Oryctolagus cuniculus: one gene and its partners. The protein of the gene in region 1 purifies or fractionates together with the protein of each later gene. This does not show direct contact. Links are inferred from orthologs where the notes say so. Each region holds a gene or a part of one and is shown on either strand. Other genes may lie near its edges.

Region 1 (4,291 bases):
TTTTCTCCCTGACTCTTCCCAGAAACTGCACTCTCTCCCCTTTAAAGCTGTCTTTCCTGGACTAGAGCAGGAAGCTACCTCGCTACTCCACCATCTCGGCTGACTCGTCTTTTGCTTGGCTTTTTCTGTTTCTGGATTTCTGCTGTGTTCCTTTGGCAGTCAGGGTCCAAAGGAGGTAGACACTACATAATACCTCCAACAGGGGAAGTTTAACATAAAGAATTACTAATTATAATAGGAGATTAAGTGTAAGATATGAAGAACTCTGATATTTGGGACTGAGGAAGAGTACCCAAGGAAGGACAAACTTGGAGGGGTTCAGACCTCAATAGGGAAAGTGAGGTTCAGCCACTAGCTAGCGGTGATGCTGGCTGGGATAAGCCGGGCTGCTCTGGAGTTGCCCCTTCCAAATGCAAGTGGGCAGCTGGCAGTCCGCAGCGAGTGGCATGGGTGTGCACTGGGAGCCCAGTGACACACAGACCCTAGAGGGTGGCAAGTCTCGCTTCACTCATTATTTTGTGGTGGGCTACCCTTTGGGCTACAGCTTGAACATGTGACTGGGGAAGGTTATCAGTACACCGAGTGGGAAGGTCACAGAGGAACCTTATTCTGGACCTGTGGCTGGGCTGGTCTCACATCCTTCCCAGGGTTTAGGAATTACAGCAAGTCTCGCAGTGTGCCTCTAGCGCCCTCTACTGAAAAGGCTCAGTATTGCACGCACTTTTCCTTCCTTGAAGGAATTCCATGGTTTACCATAGACCGTACATTGAAGGATGCATTTAAAATTGAAAGACAGTAGAATGATAAGTGACACAGTTGCATTGGTCGGTCTTTCCATGTGCTGTTATTCAGTATTTTTTATTATTGGAGATTCATAGTGTATTTGAATATCTGTTAATTCTTGCACTGTTACAAATTGATCTTCTCTTCCAATAAGAGTTTTCAAATAAATTTGTCTAATCCTAGAAAAAACACTTTGTGGCAACTGCTAGATGTGAGCCAGGCACGGAGCCAGGAACTCAGTTCAACTCTCCCATGAGGGTGGCACAGACCCAACTACTTGAGCTATCATCTGCCACCTCCCAGGGTGTATCAGCAGGAAGCTGGAAATGGGAGTGGAGCTGAGACTTGAACCCAGGCACTCTGATATGGGAGGGCGGTGTCCTAACTGATGGCTTAACCGCCAAGCCAAACATCCACTACTAATCTTCTGCTTTTTTAAATACTCCTGTAGGATAAGTTCCCATCATGAAAAATTTCCTGTGGTTAACAATAACAACAAAACCAACCAAGAAATACACTAGAAGATGAGTAGTGCACACCGCTTATTCCCACCCCTCTGAGTTAATATTTTCATACACATCTTTCAGGATGTATTTGTAATCCTATTTAGATGTGAATATTTTTAAAATAAAAAAGTTTTAACACTTTTCAGCTGTTGCAACTGCAGGTGTAACTTAGCAATGTCTTTTGCTTCTCTTTCCAGCTATTTTCCCCACCCATGAGCCTTTGAGGATGTTGTAATGTCCCTCCGTGCCTCGTGTTGCAAGGAGTTTATACAGCTGCTACCTAGTCAAGACATGGATATCAAAAACTCACCATCCAGCCTTCACTCTCCTGCCTCCTACAACTGCAGTCAGTCTGTCTTACCCCTGGAGCACGGCCCCCTCTACGTCCCTTCCTCCTACGTAGAGGACCACCACGAGTACCCCACCATGACCTTCTACAGCCCTGCCATGATGAATTACAGCGTCCCCAGCGGCGCCAGTGAGGCGGACCGTGGGCCGGGGCGACAGCCCACAAGTCCAGATGTGCTGTGGCCGACTCCTGGCCACCTGTCTCCTTTAGCCATCCGTTGTCAGTCGTCACTTCTGTACCCAGAACCTCAGAAGCCTTCGTGGTGTGAAGTGCGACCGCTGGAGCACCCCTCGCCTGTGAACAGGTGAGGCCGGCCTTCGTTCTGAGCCGTATTCCGTGGGGGCTCGGCTCCCCTCCCGGTTACCGAGAAGACGGACGTGCGTTCCCAGTGTCTTCATTTATGAGGACCCTTCAGAAAGTTCGTGGAGTGTGTGTGTGGCGCTGGAGTTCACATTTTAATTCCATTGTCCCCTGAACTTTTTGAGCAACTCTCGTAATAAGTCATTCATTACTTGGAGCACCTGAAACGTGATGCACTGTTTTAGTCTTCCTTTTATTTTTTTTTTAAGATTGACTTATTTATTTGAAAGGTAGAGTTACAGAGAGGCAGAGGCAGAGAGAGAGAGAGAGAGAGTCTCTTACCCAGTGGTTTACTCCCCAGTTGGCTGCAATGGCCAGAGCTGGGCCAATCTGAAGCCAGGACTTGAACCCGTATCCATATGGGATGCTGGCTCTACGAGCAGCAGCTTTACCCACTATGCCACAGCGCTGGCCCCATGTTCTCTTCTAATATTCCAGTCCTCATTGAAAAATTGTACTTGTAGGTGAGTGTTGCAGGCACAGCTCACTATTTTGAATGCTGCTGTATTTATATTATAAAAATTATCTTCCTTTTTTCCTAAGTTTGAATACCAAATTTTTTAGTTTTAGGTTAGACTCATAGTGAAATCACAATATAGTGTTCATGAAAAATTGTTCCCAGGATAAAAATAAGTGTGGCAGTACTACAACTTAAAGGAATACTAGCCGCCTGAAACCTGTAAAGACAGGCAATTGGTACAGCTTAAAATTTTTTGAGAGGCAGAGAAAGAGAAGGAGGGATAGGCAGCATCCCTGTATCTGCTCAAATGCTCACAGTGGCAGGAACCAGGCCAGACTGAAGCCGGGAACTGGCAGCTCCATCATGGTCCGCCCTGTAGGTGGCAGTGTCCCACCTGCTGGGGCATCACTGCTGCCTCCCAGAGTGCACATCGGCAGAGAGCTGGAGTGAAGGGCCCAGGCACATCCATGTGGGTGCAGGCATCCGAATTGCTAGGCCAGACGCCCAGCCCATTATAAAGTTGGTGGGAAACCATTTAATATAGACATCATTTGAAATTTCCTGAAGTGGAAAAGAATATTTGTACTCTTTAAATGCAAGGTAAGATGGATTATTTCAGTCTAATAATACTTTCTTTTTTTTTTTTTTTAAAGATTTATTTATTTGAGAGGTAGAATTACAGAGAGAGGGAGGGAGAGACAGAGAGAATGGTCTTCCATCTCTGGTTCACTCCCCAAATGGCCGCAACAGCCAGCTGGTACTGGGCAAGTCTGAAGCCAGGAGCTTCCTCTGGGTCTCCCACGCAGGTGCAGGGCCCAAGGACTTGGGCCATCTTCTGCTGCTTTCCCAGGCCACAGCAGAGAGCTGGACAGGAAGAGGAGCAGCTGGAACTAGAACTTGTGCCCATATGGGCAGGTGGAAACTTGGCCTACAGCCAGAGCGCTGGCCTCAGTCTAATGGGCATTTTCAATGATCGTTGTACCTCTGAAGGGAAGACATTAATGAGGGGAAGAGAAGAGGGAGATGAAATTCTAAAACAGTGAAAGTTAAATGAGAACATGTTGGATATGAAAGTTCATTACTTTCTTTTCTTATTTGAAGGGCGGAGTGTAAGGGAGGGAGGGAGGGAGGGAGGGAGGGAGGGATATATATATAGAGAGAGCTTCCATCTGGTGGTTCACTCCCCAAATGACCACAGTGGCCAGGGCTGAGCCAGGTGAAAGCCAGGAGCTTCATCCGGTCTCCCAGATGGGCGGCAGGGCCCAAACACTTGGGTCATCTTCCAGTGCTTTTCCCAGCCCAATAGCAGGGAGCTGGAGGTGGTGCAGCTGGGACACAGACGGCATTTGCATGAGGTGCTGGCCTTGTAGGTGGTTTTACACGCTGCACCACAAGGCCGGCCCCACGGGAAACTTTTTAAAAGCAGTACTTTAAAAAAATAAAAAATAAAAGCAGTGCTTTTCATTCAGCCTTTAAAGGCAGAAGTATGTTGTTTTGAGCATGAATTCTGATCAAAGTTCTGATATTTGGACAAGCTAAACCAAATGAAAATTACCTTCATTGATCAAACGGTCAACCCTTTATCATACTTTCCAAACGAAATATGCCCTAGCAAAACGAGGAAGTGGCCGGGCTTGGGTCTGGTGCTGCCTGTGCTTCCCTGCTGGGCCGGTTCCGCCGTGGGGCCAGGGCCCGGCCTCTGCTTCACCCACCTGAGCTTTCCCTGGCCAGGCAGCTGCCCGCTTCCTCCCCTCTCTTCTCCTTTCTGCCCTCTCCCCACCTCCCTCTCTTTAACCAGAGTATAGTATTCGTCTCCATGTGACTTGGAGTCCA
Region 2 (3,500 bases), on another chromosome or scaffold:
ACATTATAAAGTACATATTATACTATACTATAATGTACAAATGAATAACTACTCTGTCGTTTCTACTTTTTAGTATCGGGCCCTTTTAATTCAATGAGAAATGACTACTAAACACTATTAAGCATCATTAGAAAAATTAATAAGTGAGAAGACACTATGCTTATCCTTCAGAGAGAATGCAAAGTTAAGCAATATAAGTTTGTTTTAGCAAACAATAAAAATAAATATGAGATTTCTGAGTTGGAAAATTATGGAATCAAAATAATGTTTTTTTACAAAGGTAATTTGATAGAAGTAACCAAAATGGTTAGGTGTGAGAGAAGAAATTAATTTCAGTACATAACTTTTTAATTAAAACTTTTCTTTATATAAATATTCATACACCCATCCCACACGTATATGCTCACAACCAAGCTAGCAAACTTTCTGGAAGAAGGTGCATGCAATAACTAATTCTTATTTGCCCTTTTTTTCCGTCAGGCTCAGGTTATTACTTTCATCCTAATATTAGGCCAGTAAGTAAAGCTATAATAATTTATTCCCTTTAGAGGGCAAATAAACAAAAAACTTAAAGACAGAATGCTAATGATATGCTAATTGTATCACTTATAAACTTTAAGCAGTAAAAGATGTTGGCCCTTTACCATGCCACTGAGCTAGAATACAGAGAGTGCTGCCATGGAGGGGCTACCTACCCAAGTAATGATGGTGGACGTGAGCTGTAAGAAAGCGATCAACCCGTCTTGCTCCTTCTGGGTGATGCCACGAGAAGGCAGGTGGCGGTACTGGACGCTATCCGCACTCGGGAGGTCCTTCCGGAGGTGCTCATGGTAAAGCATTAAGGAGTGAAAGAAATGCTCCCAAGAAACAGGGCTGCCACCTGCACCCTGAATATTTTCAACTGTAAAGAAAAGCACAGAATTCTCTCAAGAATCCCTACACATATGCTTGGAAATGAGGATTTATATAAAAGTATAAATTTTGTTTATCTGTGTCTTAGCATCAAGGCAATCTTTGTACTACATAGGCTAGAATTCCTCTGTAACTTAGAACTTGAATTTCTGCTCAGAGCTAAGAATAGGGACACATATATGTAAAGGTAAACTGCCTGACAAGCCCATTACCTGCTTCATATTCAGGGGAGTTCTCTGTAACTAAACAGGGCTATTTTTCCACAGGATAATTCACAAATGATGAGCTTGAATTCCCCCCCAAAAAAGAGGTAACTACAGCCTAGGTTTGTGAATTCTACTACTCCACTACATACCAAGCTGGGAGCAAAACCATAGCACATAAGCCAGGCCTTGACAGAGTGTCAGCACACTGACTTTGGAGTCAAAGACAGCTCAGTTCCACTTGCGGCTCTTTAAATACCTGTGCCCTAGAATAATTACTTAACTTCTCTAATCCTCCACTTCTTCACATGTAAAAATGAAAATAATATCCACCTAACAAAGCAGGTATGGTTCTTCTTTTGCAGCATTTTTGGCTTAACCAGACTTAAAAGTCTGAAAAGCAAATGAGGAAAAATTGGTCAAGAAAAGACTCTTAAATACTAACAAAAAAAGAAAAAGACAATAAACACCTAAAAGTTAAAGAAATCAAAGATAGGTCACAAGTACACATACTTTGTACACTAGATTTATTATTGAAAATGTATATACCCGTTGAGCATCCTTTACTCAAGATGCTTAAGACCAGACATACTTCAGATTTTGGATTTATTTTTAAAATTCTGGAATATCTGTACATATACAATGAGATAACTGAGGAATAGGGCCCAATCTAAACACAACATCCAATGATATTTCATATACACCTTATATACATGGCCTGAAAGAACCTCACAAAAAATCACCAATATTCTTTAAAAGGTAATTGGGGTACTGAACTCAAGAGTGAAGAACAGGGGCCGGCGCTGTGGCATAGAGGGTAAAGCTGCCGCTATCCCACATGGATGCCGGTTCGAGTCCCGGCTATTCCACTACCACTCCAGCTCTCTGCTATGGCCTGGGAAAGCAGTGGAAGATGGCCCAAGTGCTTGGGCCCCTGTACTCCTGTGGGAGACCCAGAAGAATCTCCTGGCTTTGGATCAGCATAGCTCTGGCTGTGCAGCCATGTGGGGAGTGAACCAGCGGATGGAAGACTTCTCTCTCTCTCTCTCTCTGCCTCTCTGTAACTTTGCTTTGGAAATAAATAAATCAATCTTAAAAAACAAAACCGACTGAACAGAGTGTGGTATACCACACAAAGCCATCCCCAGCAGCACACCCCCTGCAGCCTCCCGTACCAGAGTGCTGGTTCAAGTTCCAGCTGTTCACTCTTCTGGTTCAGTTTCCCACTAACCTATCTGTGAAGGCAGAGGATGATGGCCCAAGTGCTTGGGTTCTTGCCACTCATGTGAGAGATCAGGATGGAATCCCCAGATCCTGGTTTCAACCTGACCCAGAGCTAGCGCTATGGACATTTGGTGAGTGAACCAGAGATTAAAAGATCTCTTTCTCTGTCACTCTGCCTTTCAAATAAGTATTTTTAAAATGAGAGGAAAAAAAAAAAGACTGGAAAATCAAACAACATGTAGCTCTTCCTTACCATGGCTACTACCATTGACTTTGAGTAGGCTGAAACAGTAGTGGGCACACTGAGGCCCGCTGGCCAATCCTCGCAGCATTTTCAAATAAGGGATATAAATAGTTGGAGGCAACAAGTCACCCATTTGCCTAACAAACTTAGACAAAACAACCTGAAATAGAAAAAAAACAAAGAGATTATATGTAAAGTGTTTCTTGAGTTTAAGGCAACATGAGCCAATTAACAAGGACTACATGTAAACCAAAACTATACATATATACTTTTTTTTTTTTTGGACAGGCAGAGTTAGACAGTGAGAGAGAGTGAGAGAGTGAGAGAGAGAGAGAGAGAGAGAGAGAAAAGTCTTCCTTCCGTTGGTTCACCCCCAAATGGTTGCTATGGCCAGCGTGTTGCGCCAATCCAAAGGCAGGAGAAGCCAGGTGCTTCCTCCTGGTCTCCCATGGGGTGCAGGGCCCAAGCACTTGGGCCATCCTCCACTGCACTCCCTGGCCACAGCAGAGAGCTGGCCTGGAAGAGGGGCAACCGGGACAGAATCCGGCGCCCCAACCGGGACTAGAACCCGGGGTTCCGGCGCCACAGGTGGAGGATTAGCCTAGTGGGTCAAGGCACCGGCCAAACCAAAACTATATTAAGTACTCAGATTTAACCCTCACAAATGATAAAAGTAAATGTTAATCTATAGATTCATATGCATTTTGTCATCCATTACAACTTCTAAGCCTCTCTAGCACCTGTATCTCTCCCATCTTCTCAACGTGGTAGGAAGTATATACACTGGTTATTACCATGCAAATGCAGTACAGGCTAAAATACTGCTAAAACATTAATGAGCAAGTGTGGGGAGCAACTCGGACTAGACTAAGTTACTGGAATTAAGACTTATTCTATGCATCTGCTCTCCCACAATA
Region 3 (3,181 bases), on another chromosome or scaffold:
CAACCTGCTGTACAAGGCGGAGGGCGTGAGGATCCGGGACGACGAGGGCCTGCTGCGGGCGGCCCTGCAGCGCAAGGAGAAGCGGCGGGCCCAGCGCCAGCGCCGCTGGGAGAAGCGCTCGGCCCGCGTGGTGCAGCAGATGCAGCAGCGGCAGGACAAGCGCCGGCAGAACCTGCGCCAGAAGAAGGCGGCCAGGGCCGAGCGGCGCCTGCAGAGGGCCCGCAAGAAGGGCCGCGTGCTGCCCCAGGACCTGGCGCGGGCCGGCCTGGCCTGAGCGGCCTGTGCGGCTGGGGGAGGGGCGAGCTGGGCCCCCCAGGACCTGGCGCGGGCCGGCCTGGCCTGAGCGGCCTGTGCTGGGCCCCGGCCGTCTCCCCTGAGAGCGGAGAGCGCCCCAGACGCTTGCAGGGTGAGGAGGAAGGCCACGTCACTGCCGCCCTCCCCTACCGCGGTCACCGGGCCACGGGACAGGTGCGGGTGTCTTCGGACTGCCCTTTGAGCCAGAAACATGCTCAGGACCAATGAGAAGCCGAAGTGAGAAGTGAGAGTGGCTGGTGGAGCTCGGGGGAGGCCGGAGTCTGGGCGAGGCTGTCCTGGGCCCAGACACCCGGCCCCTGCCCGCTGTTTCCATCTTGGTCTTTGGGGCTCAGTCGCCCTGGGGCAGCATCGCACACGGACGCTGCAGGAGGAGGTGGCCCCTTGGCCACCCTGGGCAGGGCACTGGCCGGAGGCGGAGACGCTGTGCGGGCCTCCCCTGCCCTCTGGAGTGAGGGGCGGGGCAGCTGGTGTCTCAGTGTCTGGGGGGGAAGCCCCGCGCCCTGAGCGGCGCCTCTCCCCACCCCCGTGGTGAGTGCCGCGGGCAGGCGGGTGGTGCCGGGTGTCTCTGACCCTGTTCCCCCTCGTGCGGCTGCACTGTGCGCTGTGTGACGACCAGGCTGGGGCCGGTGTGGCAGCAGGGAAGCCGCCGCCTTGGTGCCGGCGTCCCGTGTGGGTGCCTGTTTGAATCTTGGCCGTTCCGTTTCCAGTCCAGCTCCCTGCTAATGGCCTGGAAAAGCGGAAAATGCCTCAGATTTCTGGGCCCTCACGGCATCCGTGGAGGCCCAGCTGGGGCTCCTGGCTCTGACCAGTGGTTGTGGCCGTCTGGGGGTGGGCCTGCAGGGGGAAGAGCTCTGTAACTCTGACTTTCAAAATAAATAAGTACATTTTTTTTTCTTTAAAAAGTGAGCTGATTCTGCGGCTCTGGGCTCAGCCGCAGGAGGTGGAGGGGTCCGTCCGCCTCTCCTTGGGCGTTCTCTTGAGTCTGTTGCCGTTGAGCCGAGGCCGTGGTCTTGAGTGGCCTCCGCCAGCACAGGCCCAGCGAGGGGCACGAGGACAGCGTTTCTGCCCCGGGCAGGACCCCTCCCCCGCTCAGTGGGTGGGGGTCGTTGGGCCCTCCCTGCACCTGTCGCTCCCCCTCTTCGTGGAGGAACGACACAGGACCCTGCGCTGTTCTTTCGTCTGCTCGGCCCTCCCCGGGTTTGCTGCTGGTTCTTCCCGGGTTGGCTACTATCCCTTCCACCTCCGTGGAAGGGCAGTTCCCCCTGGCCACATTCCCCACTTCCGCAGGGGAGCGGCACACCGCCGGCCGGCTCTTCTCGGGGGCTGCACAGGTGTTCCTTCAGCTAGATGGTCCCCTTAGATGTTCCTCGTGCATGCCGTCTCTCTCCTCCTTTATAGTCCTCCTCCGCCAATCCTAACTCGGCTGCCCACACGCCGAGTACGCTGCTCTCCTCCAATCAGGAGCAAGTCCTACAGTTTATTAGTTGAACTGGAGGCAGCTGTGCGGAAGCTGTTTACTTCTCTCCCAGCGCCATGTTGTGGGGGAGCAGATGCATAGAATAAGTCTTAATCCCAGTAACTCAGTCTAGTCCGGTTTGCTCCCCACAGCACCCATGTTCCCAGCTATGCCCCCAGGAAGCCCGCGCGCCTTCTGTCTGTGCGTTCTGGAGGGAGCAGAGTGCTAGAGGCAGCGCTTCCACCAGATGGCCCAGCGGCTGGAGCCAGGAGCTCCTCCCCTGTCTCCCACGTGGGTGCGGGGCCCACACACCGGGGCCATGTCCTGGCTGCTTTCCCAGGTGCATTAGCAGGAAGGTGGGTCAGAAGTGGAACAGCCAGGACTTGAACCGCTGCCCATGTGGGACGCTGGTGTCGCACATGGTGGCTTTGGCCGCTTGGCCACAGCGCTGGCCCAGGCTGAGTCGGCCAGGGCAGGGACTCAGAGGAAGACAGACAGCCACACTTCACAAGCAAACCTGGAAAACCAAGACGAAGCCCAGATTCGGTGTCCTGTCGGCAGGTCTCAGTGCCATGGAATTGTGCTCGCTGAGGGTTGGACTTCATGCTGTTGAAGGTGAACTTCGAGGAGGAACAGCAGGTTTTAAAAAGTAGTCGGCGTGGCCAGCACTGTGACAGCGCGTGAAGCCGCATCCCACGGGAGCACGGTTCACATCCCAGCCGCTCCACTTGCGACCCAGCTCCCATCCGTCAGGCCTGGGGACAGCGGTGCCAGGGGAGACCCAGATGCGGTCACAGACTCCTGGCTTTGCCTGTCAGCCCCGGCCTTGACTGCCGTTTGAGGAGTGAACCAGGAGTGAAAGCTTTGTAACTGCCTTTCATGTAAATAAATATTAAAAAAAGCAAAGACAGAGGAGCTGTTTTGAATCCAAGTGAATGCCAGCGGCATAAAACCAGGGGCTGTGAATGGTGATTTAAGGGTTTTTTTTAAACCATTTATTTATTTATTTATTTGAAAGGCAGAGTTACACAGAGAGAGGAGCGGCAGAGAGAGAGAGAGTCTTCCATCCACTGTTCATTCCCCCAGATGGCTGCAACGGCTGGAGCTGAGCCGACCCCAGTTGGAAGCCAGGAGCTTCTTGTGGGTCTCCCATGAGTGTGCAGGGGCCCAAGGACTTGGGCCATCTTCTACTGCTTTCCCAGGCCACAGCAGGGAGCTGGATGGGAAGTGGAGCAGCCGGGTCTTGAACCAGTGACCATATGGGATGCCGGCACTGAAGGCAGCGGCTTTAGCTGGTGATGCCACAGCACTGGCCCCGTGATTAATTTTAATTAAGCAAGTACTCGGGTTGTTAGCCATGTGTGAAGTCCTTGGTCGCGCTGGTGGCTGTGCTGTTGGGCTGCACGGAGA
Region 4 (4,052 bases), about 9.4 Mb from region 1:
GCTAGGACTAGAACTGGTGATCATACGGGATGCGGACATCACAGGCATTGGCTTAACTTACTGTGGAGCAACACCAGCCCCATGGGCAAGAGATACACTTTAAAATGCCAATGAGTGTATTGAGCCAACAGGGAAAGATAAAGTTTCAACAAATACTTACCATCTTTAAAATCCATCCTAATTCCCCACACCATAGGTAACTTCATAACACTGTTTGCCCCCACTGGGGCTATTTGCATTTAAAACTGTGTGAATGGAAGAGCTGGCCCCATACAAACTCTCCATGCTCTCATCCAGACTTCCTGAGGGCCCCATTCCAGAGGTCACGGGTAAGGCTAGCTGCTCTTCTGCTTGAACTATTTTCTGTCTGTGTAATTCTAGTTCCAAGCATGTAACGCTAGATGCTGGGCCTGCTCAGAAATGGAGTGCCTTGGTTTCCACCTAAAAGCATTAAAGAAGAGTTCTCTTTACACCTAAGATTCTAGGCCTGGCAACCTTATTGAGAAAACACTGGAGTTCAAATACCCACGTATTTGCCCTGTTGCACACCCACTTTAACAGCACAACACAAATTGTGTCGCTGAAGAATTGTAGGCTTTCATGTGTTTCATTACAGAAACCTGAACAGGGCGGATTAACCAAATCCCATTTGGACTTAAGGCAGCTGGAAACCTCTTCAAGCCAGCTCAGTTGCAGAGTGGTGGCAAGGCAGAAAACCATATTCCGGTTTCAATTCAAGAGGGCCTTCACGCTATAGTCTCCATTTTAAGATTTCATGACTCAAAAAACCTTCCATTAAAAAAAATTATTCTGTTCCTTAGGTCTTCTCACTACCATATGTCCATGGCGATTGACTTGAGCATCAAGGAGCGCCCTGGCCTTGAGTGAAACCACATGAAGCGCGCAGCACGGAGTCAGGGCAGCCAGGTCTTTTTACAGAGCCCGAGTTTCAATCACTCGTAATCTTCTGGGTACCCGAGGAAAATTCCGGATACAGAAAAGGGTCCAATTTGCTTTAAGAGACTTTTATGGGAACGATGTAAATGATCCGAACTCCACGCCTCAGGAGAAGCAAACGTCTCCAACGGCTACCGCTCCGAAGCACCTGCCGTTCCGCCCCCGACCCCACCCACCGCAGTCTGAGGGTCGCTCTAGGGGTCGCGGTAGGAAGACCCTTGCCCTGCGGAAGCTTCCGGCGCTGGACCCAACAGGGTGTGCACCACAGCCCCATGGGCGGTCCCGGAAGTGACGTAGGGACGCGCCCTCCATTTTGTGGAACGCCAGCGCTACTAAGTGCGTCAGTTGTCGAGAGGCGTAGACGAGTTAAGTTCTGGTCTGCAGGGAGGTTGACGACTCCGTCGCAGACTACGGACCTCTCTGGGTCTCAGCTGCCAAAGATCCTGTCCGGTAGGTGAGTGGCTCACTTTGAGGGCAAGGCTTCTCGGATCGAGGCTTCTCCATGGCCCCTCAGGTCGCGAGTGGTCGGGGCTGCTCTCTTTGCGGAGGACGGCGTCTAATGAACGCAGTTGACTCGAGGTGGGCGCTGGGGCACGTCTCCCTTTTGGTGTTGCTTGAGGGGTAGTGAAGGTGGAGGGGTGGTCATGTTTGCGGTCGTTTGTACACAGGGGTTGCGCGCCCCTCCCTGCCACTCTTGCGGCTTCGTTATCCAGCCGCCCCGAGTCGTGGGCCTAGGCGGCTCTGACTTTTGCTCAGGGTGTGGCGCGGGGGCCACCTGCGGGCGGGCAGAATGAGTCCGGAATGGTGGCACCGGGGAGGGAGAGGGAGAATTTGGCTCGCGCTACTCTGCCCGGCGCTGACTCCGCGGCCGCCATCTTGGGGCCGCCGAGTGCCCGCCCTTCGTTGTGTGCGCAGGCGCGGCCGCGGTCTCGCGAGACGCAGGTTCCCGCCCCCTGTGACGCGCCGGGCCTCTGCCATTGGGCTGGTCTCGCGGAGGGCGGGGTCGGCTCCGCCTGCGGTTCTCGGCCTTTCCTAACTGCGGCAGAAGGGAGGGGGCCGGGGCGTCGCGCGGCGGCGCGGCTGCGCAGTGCGAGAGGTGGCAGTGGGCGTTGCGGTTGCTGCGGTCCGGGGCCCCGGGGGTAGGGGGAGAGCCGGGGGGTCGCGTTGGGAGGCGGCCGTGTTGTCACCCTGCCGGGTAAAAGTTTTAAGCTACGTGTGATGCGTTCGGTGGCTTCTTCCGGCATTCCTCTGCGCCCTTCATTGGTATTGTCTCGATTGATTGATTCTCTGGCAGGAAGCGCTAGCCGGACACCATGAGCGGCTGTCGAGTGTTCATCGGGAGGCTAAATCCGGCGGCCAGGGAGAAAGACGTGGAGAGGTTCTTCAAGGGCTACGGACGGATAAGGGATATTGATCTGAAAAGGGGTTTTGGTTTCGTGGTGAGTATTCAGAACAAGGGTTGTTGAGTGGGTAAAGCTTTGGGTGAGCAGTACCGTGTCCAGGTAGAATATTGTGTCTGCAGCATAAAAGTTAGCGAATTGTCTTAAAGAACCCGCTGGCTGACTGGGATCCCCAGCCGAGTCACCCTCTTGATGAGGTTTATCTGCGTGGTCATGTCTTGATGCTCTGCCTCCCCTCCCCTGCCCTGCTTTTAGTGTTTGTATGTTGTGTCCACACATGCAGCCGCGCTAAGCGTCTTACACTTTATTGTAGGAATTCGAGGATCCCAGGGATGCAGATGATGCCGTATATGAACTTGATGGAAAAGAACTTTGCAGTGAAAGGTGAGAGGTTCTTAGTGCAAAATGGAGCAGACCAAGGCGGCCGGGATGTTATCTTAAACAGGGCTCGCTCCCGTACAGCTTGAGTGTATAACGCGGGCTCGTTCTTGTTTCTGTAGGGTAACTATTGAACACGCTCGGGCTCGGTCTCGAGGTGGAAGAGGTAGAGGACGATATTCTGACCGATTTAGTAGTCGCAGACCTCGAAATGATAGACGGTATGTGATGGGCGGAGGACTGCTGCTGATTCTGGCTACCGGGACTTGGTTTAAGCCTGAGGAACCATTAACAGTAAATGATGCTGGGACTTGAGTCTGGTGTGTTCCTGTGTTAGCTCACTGGTCCTGGTGAGTCTGTAATGAGTCACAGAATAACACAGAAAGTGTTGATGGAAGTCACCTGGTGACTTGTCACGGCTGAGTGTTTGAGCTTGTCCAGGGTTGAACACTAGAAGTGCGCTCGGCACTGCATTGCTTCCATTGTGAATACTCATTTTCTTCCTCAGAAATGCTCCACCTGTAAGAACAGAAAATCGACTTATAGTTGAGAATTTATCCTCAAGAGTCAGCTGGCAGGTTTGTTGAAATACGGTTTTTGCGTTATTTTGATGTGGATTTTTTTAAAAGAAATATTAATGGGTAGCTAATGTTTTATTAATGTTTTAAAATTAAAAGTAATTTTATCTTTAATTAATTTATTTTAATGGAATTGTAATTGTAAAGTTAAATTAATTAATTGTAATTGGGGGATATTTTATTATTAACTAATCAAATGTAAATGTTTTGAGGATATTTTTCTTGTTTTGAAAAATCAATTTTAACCAAATATTAAACCCTTTATTTGCCAGCCTATCTGTGTCGTTGGCCTTATGACGAGGAGTGCCTGTGGGTTATCCTAATCGTTGTCTTGGTCACTCTTGGTTGGGCCTGGTTGACTTTGCCAGTCAGCTCCTACAGTGATCAATTGGCCACCTCTAGATCTGTGTTTGCCGGTCTAGACGTAATCGGTGCACTTCCTTGAAGTGCCAGGTTGCAGCGATCCCAGAGCGTTGATAACGTGATCTGATCCCTAAGTTGAAAGCTGTCTTCCTGTAACGCTTCCGAATAAGAGGTCCTGGTCGAAAAGAGTTGAAAGATACGCAATTAGGTGTTCGTTGGCGTCCTGATCGCAGTGCAGTGGTCCTTGGTAACTGCTCAAGAGTAGAACATGTCTGCATCGCCAGTAGTCCGCTGATAGGGAGGGGCTGTGCGATTAAAGGCTTCCAGCGATTGGGTAGTATCCTTCAAGTGGGTGGCGAAGAGCCAGTCGGGCCTA
Region 5 (4,158 bases), on another chromosome or scaffold:
GAGGAGCATTGTATAGTCTATCTGGCCAATACCATCAAACTATCAAGATCATCAGAGACAAGAAACAGCTGAGAAACTGCTACAGCCAAGAGGAATCTAGAGAGATGTGACAATTAAATGTAATATGGGATCCAGAAGTACACAAAAAGTCTGGTAATAATAACAATAATAATAGAAGACACAGCATCTCCAACCCCTTCAGGCTTCATGGTGCATTTTCTTGGCGCTTTGCTTTTCTGACTCTCATCCGTTGGGGGCACTTAAGTCGCACCCAGGACTCGTGGGGCTCATCCCCTCCTGCTCCCTTTCCGGGTTTCCCAGGCCTCTGATCCGCACCGGCTACGGTCAGCTCATCACTCTCAGGGCTTCGTTAGCTACCGTTCTTCCGGCGGGCTCCAGATCCTATTCGGTTCAGACCACGGTTCACCCAGCTCTGTTACACAGCGCCCCCTAGACATCCACTTCAGCACGTCCAGACCCAAACCCCGATTCTCTACGAACCGCAAGGACTGACAGAACCCTGGGCTATCACCCGCCTAACAAGCGGACCCCAAATTCTGTTAACGCCCCCTGCGTAGGGTTCTCGTGCTGCGATCACCTCTCCAGCCCTCAGTGCTGAACCTGTGGGCTCCCTGCCTTCAGGGGTCTCCATTTCCCTCTCTCCGTCTTTCCTTGCTTCATTCCTTTCTTTTTTCCCGTCTCTCTCCTGTAAAGGGAAAATGCATTTCCATGATTCCCGTCCACTGCAATCTCTCACTAAGAATTGGTTTTCTCTACCTCGAGGGGCTGTGAGTGTGCGCTTAGGTGTTGATTTACACCTTTTTGTGTTTGAGACACAAGCACTATTAAACACTGTCAGTTATCACAATCTATTTAAAAAGGTTAACATAGTAAGGGGACAAATCTTGTTTAAACAGAACCCCAGCCATTAACCCAGTTTAGTTGGGTCTAAGCAATGACACAAGGAACACATTTGAAAGAGGTGACGGAAAAGGTTAAGTAAAGATGGCTGTAGGACCCAAGTAACTTGGGACCTGAAAAGTGAGAGGGTGGAAAGAAGTAAAGCTTTCAACAGTGAAGGAAGGAAAACGGAAACCACAATTTCTGGGGAAGGTGATGCAATAAAGGAGTACCAGTCCCAACGAGCCAGCCAGGAGTCGAACCTGGAATCTTCTGATCCGTAGTCAGACGCGTTATCCATTGCGCCACTGGCCCTGAGACAATCGCGCTGGGCTCTGTAATGATTCTTCAAGCTTACAATGCAGGGTTTCATGGGACGTGTAGTCCCTCGGCGGCATTCGGCGGCTGCACAAAGCATTCTGGGAGATTCGGGTTCGTCACGAACCAGACCCTGAGATTGGTAGATCTGCAGGAGCCACGCCGTACGTCACGGTGCAGCCCGCGGATTGGCGGGAAGAGTCACTCTCCACCCCTCCGTCTCTTGCTCCGGAGCTGTGGAGGACGCTCTGGTTGTTAAGGCGACTCGTCCCGCCTTCTCGGGGCCTGGTTCAGCGTGTGATTGGTTGCTAATATCAAGGAATCCCGGCGTGGAGAGCGCGAGGGAAAGATGGCGGCGATGGCGGTCGGGGCTGCCGGTGGGAGCCGCGTGTCCAGCGGGAGGGACCTCAATTGCGTCCCCGAAATAGCTGACACACTGGGGGCTGTGGCCAAGCAGGGGTGAGGGCCAGACCTTCGCGGGCGGAATGCAGGGTCCGAACTCGAGGACGGAAAAGGGCAGGCTAGTCATCCCCGAGAGGCAGGGGTGAAGGGGCCGGATGGGACGAGGGCGTGAGAAACCCCATTACTCCTGAGAGGAGCAGCTTCGGCCCGGCGGGTGGAAAGTTAGGGGAGTCGTGTGGCCTCTTAGTCCAGAAGTCGGGGGAGTTGTCGGGGATACAAAAAGGGGGCATACAGCCAATCCCCTAGGGCTCCGGGGGTAAAATGAGTATGCGGGAGTAGGGGGAAGTGTTGGGGGCAAAGGCGAGAGGAGGTTCATGTGCAGGGAGGGTAGGTGTAGGTAGCCCTGGGGCAGCTCTGAACATCACAGTCCTGGAAAGCCAGTGACCCCAGAGTAGAGAGAATGCTACTTGGCGTGGATTTCCGTCGTTTTCCCTTACTCATCTTTTCCCTGCCTGTGTTTTGGGGGAGAAATTGAGGCACGGTGCAGGGAAGTGGTATGTCCCAGGATGGGCTGCAACCAGGAGCCAGCGCGGTGACTGGTGGCATCTGAAAGGGCTGTGCGCAGTTGAGGTAGCCTAAGTGCAGTGCTTGGCTCTCTTTACATGATGATTCTGGGTCTGTCGCGGTTGTAGGTTTGATTTCCTCTGCATGCCTGTCTTCCACCCGCGGTTCAAGAGGGAGTTCACTCAGGAACCTGCTAAGAATCGGCCGGGCCCCCAGACACGATCAGACCTACTGCTGTCAGGAAGGGGTAGGGACCATCCCATATGCCCCTTAATTGTTAGCAGCAGTAACAACCTCTGCTTTATCAGAGCCCTCGTTCTCCTCCTTTTCTGACTTGGATATATTGGATAGCCCCTGGGATCTAGGGAATTCTCGTTTTCTCCTTGCTTATTTGCTAAAAGCCTTAGTTGCCTATTCTGCATCAGACTATCCCATGTCTGTGGTGGAAAATGCCTTTGTCTCTCATCTCTATTTTCTGTTCCCTACCAAGAACTAGAAATTGAACCAGTACAGTACTGAACCTCATTCAGTTTTTGTCTTTCCCGGGTGGGGGAGTGCAGACTGGAATACGCTAATTGTGGGAAAGCTCTCTCCATGGATCCGTCCAGACTCGAGAGTGGAGAAGATCCGCAGGAACTCGGAGGCGGTAAGACAGTGTTTGACCTCTCCTGGAGCGTTCTAAAGATGACCTCTGTACCCGAGCTGGGTGGGAGAGCGTTTTTCCCTTCCATCAGTTACAAAATCAACTAACAGAATGCAATGAAAGCTATTTGGAGGTTAGCTCTTAACATTTTCCTCCCGTTCTCCATTCCAGGCCATGTTACAGGAGCTGAATTTTGGGGCGTATCTGGGTCTTCCGGCTTTCCTGCTGCCCCTTAATCAGGAAGATAACACAAACCTGGCCAGAGTTTTGACCAACCACATCCACACTGGCCACCACTCCTCCATGGTATGGTCGAGGGTCTCTTTTTCCCACTGCATATCATGGTAGTCAGGCTCTGTGCGGGAGCTTCTTGGGCCTGCCAGTCAGTGAAGCGGGAATTTGGCAGAATGGAAATTATTGCTCACTCCCCTGCTAACAGACAGTTTCACAATATCTCATTATTTCTTGAAACTTTACAATTGAAACACAAGGCAGATTTTTTTTTTAAGGGAGGTAGAGTTACAGAGAGAAATATCTTCCATCTGCTGGTTCACTCTCCAAATGGCCGCAGCTAGGCTGATCCAAAGCCAAGAGCCAGGAGCTTCTTCCAGGTCTCTCAAGCACTCGGGCCCTCTTCTACTGCTTTCCCAGGCCATAGCAGAGAGCTGGGTCGGAAGAGGAATGGCTGGGACTAGAATCTGTGCCCATATGGAATGCCAGCACCTTAGACAGAGGCTTAGCCAGCTACAGCACATTGTTGGCCCCACAAGGCAGATATTTGCTTAAGGATATATACAGGATACATGTACAAAATCACAAATTGGGAAAACCATCTAAAGGGGTTAATTTGAGATCTGGATCAAGGTCTTTTTAATTGTGAGATGGTTATTGGACCCAATGAGTTCAAGAGCGAGTTCTAAAAGGGCACCTGTTGATGTGCAGTTCTGGATGCGTGTGCCCTTGGTGGCACCGGAGGACCTGAGAGATGATATAATTGAGAATGCACCAGCTCCACACTCAGAGGAGTACAGTGGGGAGGAGAAGACGTGGATGTGGTATGTCTCCTTTTGCTACTACTCCAGAGCAAGGGGCAGGGTGAAGGGAAGTACGGGTAGAGCCTGTCGGGAAGTCTCCTTGAGCTGTGGTGATTGGTGGGCCACACATATGTGTGTTTTTCTGTATCCAACTCTGGGCAGGTGGCACAACTTCCGAACTTTGTGTGACTATAGCAAGAGGATTGCAGTAGGTGAGTCTACAAGGGTCCTGGGATAAGTGTCCTTCCTGTGGCGTCTGTGCACAGCACTCAGCAGTTTTGTCCATAGTGAGCAAGC
Region 6 (4,285 bases), on another chromosome or scaffold:
GAATGCAAGCTTTAGCCATTCGGCAAGGCACATGTTTTTCAGACTTAAATGTTTATTAGCATATTCCAATCTTTCTGTCTGCAAATTATATACCCAATATTAACATACAACAGTGTCTTTGCTCCCGAACTCAAAGGTTATATAGGAAATTCAGTGCTGTGGTGCAAGTGTTGCCTCTAGAGGTGGGAAACATACTGTATTCTAGTGAAAGACTAACACTGTAACATGGATGTAAGGAATTTTTTTAAACCTTTCAGATGAACTTGAAATACGAATTTCAGAAAAGAAAGAAAAAAATCTGAGCTCCTAACCCTAATTTCACTACTTAGTTGATATATAGTGCTAACATATAATTGTATAAATTTTGCTTCCTTATACTTATTTTCTACTTAGATTTTTACTTATGAAGATCCCCTAATTAAAAAAAATTTTTTTTACGATGTGTAGGAACTACGGTTTAAAGGCATTTATTTTAAGAACTTGAATTCTTGTTTCCCAAATGCTAGCTCATGGATCTCTGCCAATTTCCGATGAAATTTTCATTTGTCCAAAGGGTAACAACAGCAAGAACGGGGTGAGCTTCCCTTATGACTAAAGGCAGTCCATTTAGGGAACTACTCTGTATTGTGAAATTATGCCATTTGTACCTTCCTACTGTGAAACCGTTTTTTGCTTGTTCGTTTAAATGCTGTTGATAGTGGCCGCCATGTATTTGCTTGGCAACTTTGTGTGACCCCAGGTTTTCTGTGTGTGGGCAAATGGAAGCGCCTGGAAACCCTTTTGAGGGAGGCTGACTCTGCCGTTTAATACGGATTTCGAGGAGCCGTGTCAGAGGGGCACAGGTATGCGCACCTCCATTCAACCGCCACTCCGTTCGGCTAGGGCTGCCAGTAAGTAAGGCTTGGTGGTAACGCTGGAGGGAAGGCGACGCGCCCGCAGGCCTGCAATCATTCAGCGTGGAAACGCGTGCGCCGAGACCCCAGTGTGGCCGGGCAGGTGTCGGAGGCGGCCCTGCACCTGCGGGAAGTTGGAGCGGGGTGGGGGGAAAGCCTTGCGGGGAAAGCAGGCAAGCAGGCACCCAGGGCCGCGGGGCACCTTCCAGCGGAAGGGAGCGCGGAGGTTGGAGAACCGCGAATTCCGAACAGGAACGAGGCAGGTGCTGCCGACTGCCCTAGCCCCCCGGCGCCCCTCCACTGCAGGTCTCGGTGCGGCCAAAGCCGCTTCCAGGTGCAGCGAGGCGCACGGGCGGGAAGGGTGCGTCAACGAGCCACCACGGCGATTTGCAGCAAGATTAGGGTCTGGGAGTGAACAGACAGAAAGAGGCCGAAATAAATGACCCAGGACCCCTCCCGCTGCGGAGCGCGCGGGCCGGGGACGGTGTCGGACACGCCCCGCGGATCCCACGCGTCCAATCACCGACGAGCAGCCTCGGCCCGTAGGAAACACCCCTTGTGCTTTAAAGGCCCCACAACTTCTTCCTCTGAGAGGCTCGGGACCGCGGCGCGCATTGGCGCATGCGCAGCCCCCAGGCCCCGCCCCTCGCCCCTGACGCCCGGGTTTCCCACGACCAACATGGCGGCTCCCTGTGTGTCCTGCTGCGGCGCGCTGTGCTACCGCCTCTTTATCGGGAGTAGGGTTACCCTCGCCCCCAGGCAAGGCTTCTGGAAAACTGCGGCCGCTGAGTTTCAGAGAGGTGCTGGATCCCAGGTAAGGCGTTGGGAGAACTGGGAGCGGTGGTCCCGGTACCGTGGGGAGGTGAAGCCGGCGCCTGGCGTGCTTCTGGTCGGGACCCTGGAGGCTTGAGGTTGGGGGTGCGGAGGTGGGTGCTGGCTTGCAGCTGCCGCTCTGAGATTTGCTTCTGGTTCTTGCGGAGTGTCATGAGAGCAAGTTACCTGCAGGCGAGGCGGAGCGACCCCTGACTCGACTGGGGCTGCGGGGCTAAGGGGTCAGTGCCGAAAGTGGGCTGTTGGGTCCGGTCCTTCGGGCGTGCCCGGGACCCGAACACTAGAGCGGAACGGGGATTGCAGAGAATGCTGTTAAAAAAATGCCTTTGCATCTGGGCGTTTTCTGTTTTAATTTCCTCTGAGAGACCACAGTTGGTACACTCCCCTTAATCCTGAGGGCAGTGGCCAGCCAAGACGCTCCCTCGCCAGTTAACGGACATGGGATCTCAGGAGGAGGAAGAAATTTGAGAAGCAAGACAGTGAGTTTCATTTGGGGGTATAATTGCGTTCAAGGCATCTGTGGGATCTCCAATTGGAGATTCCCAGTAGACCAGTAAATCGACAGGAAGATAATTGACTTGGAAGTCCTCTGTTACCTTGTAGGTGGTTGGTGAGTCCTTGGAAATGGATTGGACCAGTTTGGGAGAGGGCACTGAGTGAGGAGTAGGCAGAGGAGTAGAGCTTTGATGGACAAACAGGTCAAAGGTCAGGCCCCAAGAGATTGAGAATAAGCTGCGCAGGACAGGGGAGAACCACATATTTGTCATGGAGAACAGGACAGTGTTTCCTGGATGGAGAGTGATAACCAGTACCAGCTATTGCATAGAAGTAAGCTACTGTGTTCTAAAAACTATACTGAATCTTTTTTTTCCTTTAAATTTGAGTTGTAAAGAGACAGAAAGGGCTCCGTCCCCCAGCTCATTCTCTAAATGTCTGCAGTGACCCCAGCTGGGACAAAAGCCTGTGGGCAGGAACTGACAAGTATCCCACATAGGTAGCAGGGGCCCAGCGCTTTGAGCCAGTGCCTGCTGCCTCCCATGGTGAACACAGCAGAAACTGGATTCTGGAGGAGATGCAGGACTTGGGCCGAGGTGCGCCTGTGTGGGGTGCAGGTGTCCCTACTGCTTGGTCAAATGCCTCCCCCCAGAATACCATCTTTTTCAGTGTGCTTTTTTTTTTTTAGGTTTTAACTTAAATCAACCAATCCATCCATTCTTTTATCTGTCAAACATTTGGGTTTGTTTGCTGGAAAATGTGCTGGAATTTCTTATTTCATTTACATGAAAGGCAGATGGACAGAAAGAGAGACAGATCTTCCATCTACTGGTTGACTCCACAAATGGCTACAACAGTTAAACCTAGGCCCAGCAGAAGCCAGGAGCCTGGAACCCCATCCAGGTCTCCCATGTGGCTGGCAGGGGTCCAGGTACTTGGGCCATCTTGTGTTGCTTTCGTAGGCACATTAGCAGGGAGCTGTATTGAAAGCAGAGTAACTGGGACTAGAACCTGCATTCAGATTTGGGGTGCTGCCTTGCACTGGCATCTTAACCTGCTGTGCCACAAGGCTGTCCCAGCTTTTTTCTTGTCTTTTCTTCTTAAAATTGTGCATCTTTTTGAGTATATCTTTTCTATGTACATATAATTATATGAAAGGGCCTGTAGAATGCAGAATATTTTTATTGTTGACAATTCATGCAGAGGTAGAGGAGGCTAATTTTCCCTCCCCTGAACTTCAAGCGTACATAGCTAACCTTCATTGCCTTTCTGCATGTTTTTATCATTATATGCAAACCTACATGAACATATGCTGATGCAGACCTTGATACAAAGCTGTGATGGCTCCAGCAATTGGGTTCCTGCCACCCATGTGAGAGTCCTAAATTGAATTCCTGGGCTGCTGGTTCGGGGCCCAGCCCATTCCTGACCATTGTGAGCATTTGGGGAGTGAACCAACAGATAGAAATATGCACCCTCTCTCTCTGGCCCTAACTTCTTGCTTTGTCTCTCTGCCTCTCAGATCAATCAATTTTAAAAAAATGGAATATATTGGATTGCATTCTACTTTTTGCTCTTCCAGCTTACATATATCGTAGAAATACTTCCAAGTCACTTAATGTGTGTCTAAAGCATTTTTAAATTGCCCAATATTTTGTGGCATGAATATATCACAATTAATATAACAGGTGATGGGCATTTGCTCCATGTAGATTTCTTTCCATGAAGAGTGTTGCAGTAAACATCCTGGTCCAGTTCTTAGGAGCTGATGCTTTTATTTCTGTGGGAGAGATTTCCACTTGGGAAGTTACTGCTGCCAAGATGCATATATCCTGAATTTTAATAGAAATTTCCATATAGTTTTTTGAAAAGACTAAAGCAGTTCATCTTTCATCATTGATGTATGATGATTTCCTCCTTTCTACTACATTAGGTTTTATTTGTTATTACTGCAATAAGATGGATAAAGAATGATTTCTTCTTGTTAAATTTTTAAAAAAGATTTATTTAATTTAAAGAATTGCAGAGACAGAGCGAGATCTTCTATTCGCTGGTTCATTCCCCAG
Region 7 (3,500 bases), on another chromosome or scaffold:
GGGTTTTACAGTAACTTGATCCACAAAGTAAAATTATTTGAAATGGTTAAAGGTAATATTTTGGGGATTTTGTTTTTTTTTAAAGATTAATTTATTTAAAGTCAGAGTTACAGAGAGAGGGAGAAACAGAAAGAGGTCTTCCGTCCACTGGCTCACTCCCCAAGTGGCTGCAAGGAAACCATGAGCCAGGATCTTCTTCCCAGTCTGCCACATGGGGGAAGGGGCCCAAGCACTTAGGCCATCTTCCCCTGCTTTTCCCAGGCCAGTAGCAGGGACTGGATCAGAAGTGGAGCAGCCAGGACTCAAACCAGCACTTATGTGGGATGCCAGCATTGCAGGCAGCAGCTTTTCCCACTACACCACAACAACAGCCCCTGTTTTGTTTTTAAATTTTCATGTTTAAAAGTTTTATGTAATTTTTCTGTTTTAATAGTATCATTAAGTATTTTTTCTTACAGAGATAACTTGGAGTGGTTGGCCAGAGCCACTAACTGGGCAAAATTTACTGCCACAGCCAGTTTGGGTGTAATTCATAAGGTAATTCATCCTGATCAGTGGAAAGCAGCGTTAGAAACAGAAGACTGTCTAAGCCATTTTGCAGAAGATGAATTTAAATGTTGTTTTCATGGTCTAAGATGAATTCAGGAAAATGTTACAAAGTAAAGGGAAAAAAAAAGCATGTTCAAAGTGTGTTGAGGTTGATTCGTTTCTGAGAGGAGGAGCGTGGTGGGGGCAAGAGGCGCGGAGTCACCACACAGACCCTGGGAGTCGGGTGAAAGTGGGCCAGAGGGGAGCAGCCCAGACTCGTTTATTTCAGTTGCTACAGCTGCTTATATAGCCAAGGCAGCCAATCTGGTCAAGGGGCGGTCTATGCCCTAAACAAAGCCATCCAATCACAGCCTGTTGCCAGGCAGTTTCTGAAACCATCCAATCACGGCCTGCTGTCAGTCAGGCTCTGTTGTCAGGTGGGATTCAAAGCCATTCCTGAGTAACTGACGCTTACTTGCCAGCAGCCATCTTGGCATGGCCTTCTCATTCCACCGCATGTTCATAGTCTTTTTGTTTTGTTTTGTTTTTTTAAGATTTTATTTATTTATTTGAAAGTCAAAGTTTTACAGAGAGAGAGTGAGCTTCCATTGCCTGGCTTACCCCCCAGAGAGCTACAGTGGCCATGGCTGAGCCAGGCTGAAGCCAGGAGCTTCATCTGGGTCTCTCTTGAGAGTAGGGGCCCAAACAGTTGGGTCATCTTCTGCTGCTTTCTCAGGCCATTAGCAAGGAGCTGGATCTGAAGTGGGACAGTCAGGACATGAACTGGTGCCCATGTAGGGTGCCTGCATCACAGGCAGTGGCTTTACCTGCTATACCACAACATTGGTGCCCTCATAGTTTGTTTGTTTATTTATTTATTTATTTATTTATTTATGTTTTGACAGGCAGAGTGGACAGTGAGAGAGAGAGAGACAGAGAGAAAGGTCTTCCTTTGCCGTTGGTTCACCCTCCAGTGGCCGCCATGGCTGGCAGGCTGCGGCCGGCGCACCGCGCTGATCCGATGGCAGGAGCCAGGTGCTTCTCCTGGTCTCCCATGGGGTGCAGGGCCCAAGTACTTGGGCCATCCTCCACTGCACTCCCTTGCCGCAGCAGAGAGCTGGCCTGGAAGAGGGGCAACCGGGACAGAATCCAGTGCCCCGACCGGGACTAGAACCCAGTGTGCCGGCGCCGCAAGGCAGAGAATTAGCCTAGTGAGCCGCGGCGCCGGCCAGCCCTCAATAGTTTTTCTAATCAGCATGTTCATGTTCTCTAAAAGCCTTTCTCTCACTTGAATGATTAAGTTGTATGGGAGAGAGCCCCACTAGCACCTCTTTAAAAGACAAGTGAACTTACGAAGAAAGGCAGTAATCATAAAAATTGTGACGTCTTTTTTCTCCCTTCTCCATACTGTTATCTTTGTGGCTCAAATTTACAGGGTCATGAAAAGGAAGCGTTACAGTTAATGGCGACATACCTTCCCAAGGACACTTCTCCTGGATCAGCCTATCAGGAAGGTGGAGGTCTCTATGCATTGGGTCTCATTCATGCCAATCATGGTGGTGATATAATTGACTATCTGCTTAATCAGCTTAAGAATGCCAGCAATGATGTAAGTATTGAAATAGAAAACTAAATTTCCATTACTTAAAAGTCCAAGAAAATATGACATTTACCAAAGTATTTTAATGAATAGAGATTTTGTAGGACTTTGGAATATACAAAACAGTACTATTCTCTTAAAGCTGTTGTGTTTTTTAAGATAATTTTATTTCCTTCTCTATAAGCTAAAATTGTGATTCTTGGTCCTTTAAACCCCATGTAAAATAGACATCTTGGAATGTTATAACTGTGTGACTTTGGTTATGTAGTCCAACCCTATCATTGTACTGGAAACTAGCCCTCAAAATTACACATACTCTCTTAGAAATAAAAATTTTTGTTTTTTGAATTTTTTTCCTGAAATTTTTACTTACTGAGAAGCAGAGAATGAGTTCCCATCCTCTAATTTATTCCTCAGGTGCCTCAGATGGGCAGGTTTGGCCCAGGGCCTGAGATAGGAGCTGGAATACAATCTAGATCTTCCACATAGATAGCAGGAACCGAGTTCCTTGAGCTGTCATAGCTGCTGCCCCCAGTCTGCATTGGTAGGAAACCGGAATCAGGATTCCTGCCTGGGAATCAAACCCAGGTTTGATTTGTGGAATGCAAGTGCCTTAAATAGCAGCTTAATTTTCTTTCTTTCCTTTTTTTTTTTTTTTTTTTTTTTTTTAAATATAAGTCTTTTGGAAAAGCTTATTAAGCAACCTTGTCCTTAACTTTAGGGAACCTTAAATAGGATGTTAGACTTTAATTTCCATGTTTGAGTAAACTCTTTTAGAAGACTTATCAGGTGAGCAATTAAGTGAACTAGAAAACCTTATCCTCATATTTTAGTGAAAAGATGGAAGCCAGTAGGATGGTCTGTCTCGGCTAATCTACCTCTCATTAATCATGTGTGTATGGACGCACATCTTTTATTTCCTCTGGTCTTAGGTAAACATTTTATTTCTCTCTTAAAATTTATTTATTTGAAAATCAAGAGTTAAAGGGGCTGGTGCTGTGCTGTAGCAAGTTAAGCTGCTGCCTGTAGCAGCCTGTAGCACCAGCATCCTACATGGGTGCCAGTTGGATTCTCAGCAGCTCCCTGCTAATGTGCCTGGGAAAAGCAGCAGAAGATGGCCTGAGTGCTTGGGCTCCTGCACCTGTGTGGGATACCCAGCAGAAGCTCCTGGCTCCTGGCTTAGGTCTAGCCCTGCTCCGGATGTAGAGGCTGTCTGGGGAATGAACCCGCGGATAGATTTCTCTTTCACTCCCTCTCCCTCTCTAACTCTGCCTTTCAAATAAAATAAATAAATCTTTTAAGACAAAATAAAGAGTTAAATAGAGGGAAAGAGAGAGAGGGAGATCTTTCATCTGCTGGTTTACTTCCCAGA

What was found.
Region 2: the proteins of ESR2 (region 1) and NUP205 purify together in Homo sapiens (affinity purification with mass spectrometry; 3 studies listed by BioGRID and IntAct, with this or other methods). This does not show direct contact. The link is inferred for Oryctolagus cuniculus from reciprocal best matches to the Homo sapiens genes ESR2 and NUP205.
Region 3: the proteins of ESR2 (region 1) and SURF6 purify together in Homo sapiens (affinity purification with mass spectrometry; 3 studies listed by BioGRID and IntAct, with this or other methods). This does not show direct contact. The link is inferred for Oryctolagus cuniculus from reciprocal best matches to the Homo sapiens genes ESR2 and SURF6.
Region 4: the proteins of ESR2 (region 1) and SRSF5 purify together in Homo sapiens (affinity purification with mass spectrometry; 3 studies listed by BioGRID and IntAct, with this or other methods). This does not show direct contact. The link is inferred for Oryctolagus cuniculus from reciprocal best matches to the Homo sapiens genes ESR2 and SRSF5.
Region 5: the proteins of ESR2 (region 1) and PRMT5 purify together in Homo sapiens (affinity purification with mass spectrometry; 3 studies listed by BioGRID and IntAct, with this or other methods). This does not show direct contact. The link is inferred for Oryctolagus cuniculus from reciprocal best matches to the Homo sapiens genes ESR2 and PRMT5.
Region 6: the proteins of ESR2 (region 1) and MRPS9 purify together in Homo sapiens (affinity purification with mass spectrometry; 3 studies listed by BioGRID and IntAct, with this or other methods). This does not show direct contact. The link is inferred for Oryctolagus cuniculus from reciprocal best matches to the Homo sapiens genes ESR2 and MRPS9.
Region 7: the proteins of ESR2 (region 1) and PSMD1 purify together in Homo sapiens (affinity purification with mass spectrometry; 3 studies listed by BioGRID and IntAct, with this or other methods). This does not show direct contact. The link is inferred for Oryctolagus cuniculus from reciprocal best matches to the Homo sapiens genes ESR2 and PSMD1.

The regions. Positions count from the first base shown.
Region 1 is NC_091451.1:6,167,694-6,171,984, forward strand, and holds the start of ESR2 (estrogen receptor beta), read left to right. Parts: upstream 1-1,491; 5' UTR 1,492-1,523; coding exon 1,524-1,942; intron 1,943-4,291.
Region 2 is NC_091434.1:171,397,587-171,401,086, reverse strand, and holds part of NUP205 (nuclear pore complex protein Nup205), read right to left. Parts: intron 2,744-3,500; coding exon 2,593-2,743; intron 902-2,592; coding exon 696-901; intron 1-695. UniProt on the Homo sapiens protein: Plays a role in the nuclear pore complex (NPC) assembly and/or maintenance. May anchor NUP62 and other nucleoporins, but not NUP153 and TPR, to the NPC.
Region 3 is NC_091432.1:235,363,650-235,366,830, reverse strand, and holds the end of SURF6 (surfeit locus protein 6), read left to right. Parts: coding exon 1-250; coding exon of another isoform or gene 251-274; exon of another isoform or gene 275-319; coding exon 320-343; 3' UTR 344-2,681; downstream 2,682-3,181. UniProt on the Homo sapiens protein: Binds to both DNA and RNA in vitro, with a stronger binding capacity for RNA. May represent a nucleolar constitutive protein involved in ribosomal biosynthesis or assembly.
Region 4 is NC_091451.1:15,600,881-15,604,932, forward strand, and holds the start of SRSF5 (serine/arginine-rich splicing factor 5), read left to right. Parts: upstream 1-1,252; 5' UTR 1,253-1,536; intron 1,537-2,251; 5' UTR 2,252-2,270; coding exon 2,271-2,396; intron 2,397-2,670; coding exon 2,671-2,741; intron 2,742-2,857; coding exon 2,858-2,956; intron 2,957-3,243; coding exon 3,244-3,313; intron 3,314-4,052. UniProt on the Homo sapiens protein: Plays a role in constitutive splicing and can modulate the selection of alternative splice sites.
Region 5 is NC_091443.1:52,081,992-52,086,149, forward strand, and holds the start of PRMT5 (protein arginine N-methyltransferase 5), read left to right. Parts: upstream 1-1,358; 5' UTR 1,359-1,567; coding exon 1,568-1,677; intron 1,678-1,703; coding exon of another isoform or gene 1,704-1,762; intron 1,763-2,312; coding exon 2,313-2,431; intron 2,432-2,744; coding exon 2,745-2,830; intron 2,831-2,998; coding exon 2,999-3,133; intron 3,134-3,769; coding exon 3,770-3,882; intron 3,883-4,023; coding exon 4,024-4,073; intron 4,074-4,158. UniProt on the Homo sapiens protein: Arginine methyltransferase that can both catalyze the formation of omega-N monomethylarginine (MMA) and symmetrical dimethylarginine (sDMA), with a preference for the formation of MMA.
Region 6 is NC_091433.1:103,559,594-103,563,878, reverse strand, and holds the start of MRPS9 (small ribosomal subunit protein uS9m), read left to right. Parts: upstream 1-1,485; 5' UTR 1,486-1,572; coding exon 1,573-1,707; intron 1,708-4,285.
Region 7 is NC_091434.1:8,119,332-8,122,831, reverse strand, and holds part of PSMD1 (26S proteasome non-ATPase regulatory subunit 1), read left to right. Parts: intron 1-458; coding exon 459-537; intron 538-1,963; coding exon 1,964-2,137; intron 2,138-3,500.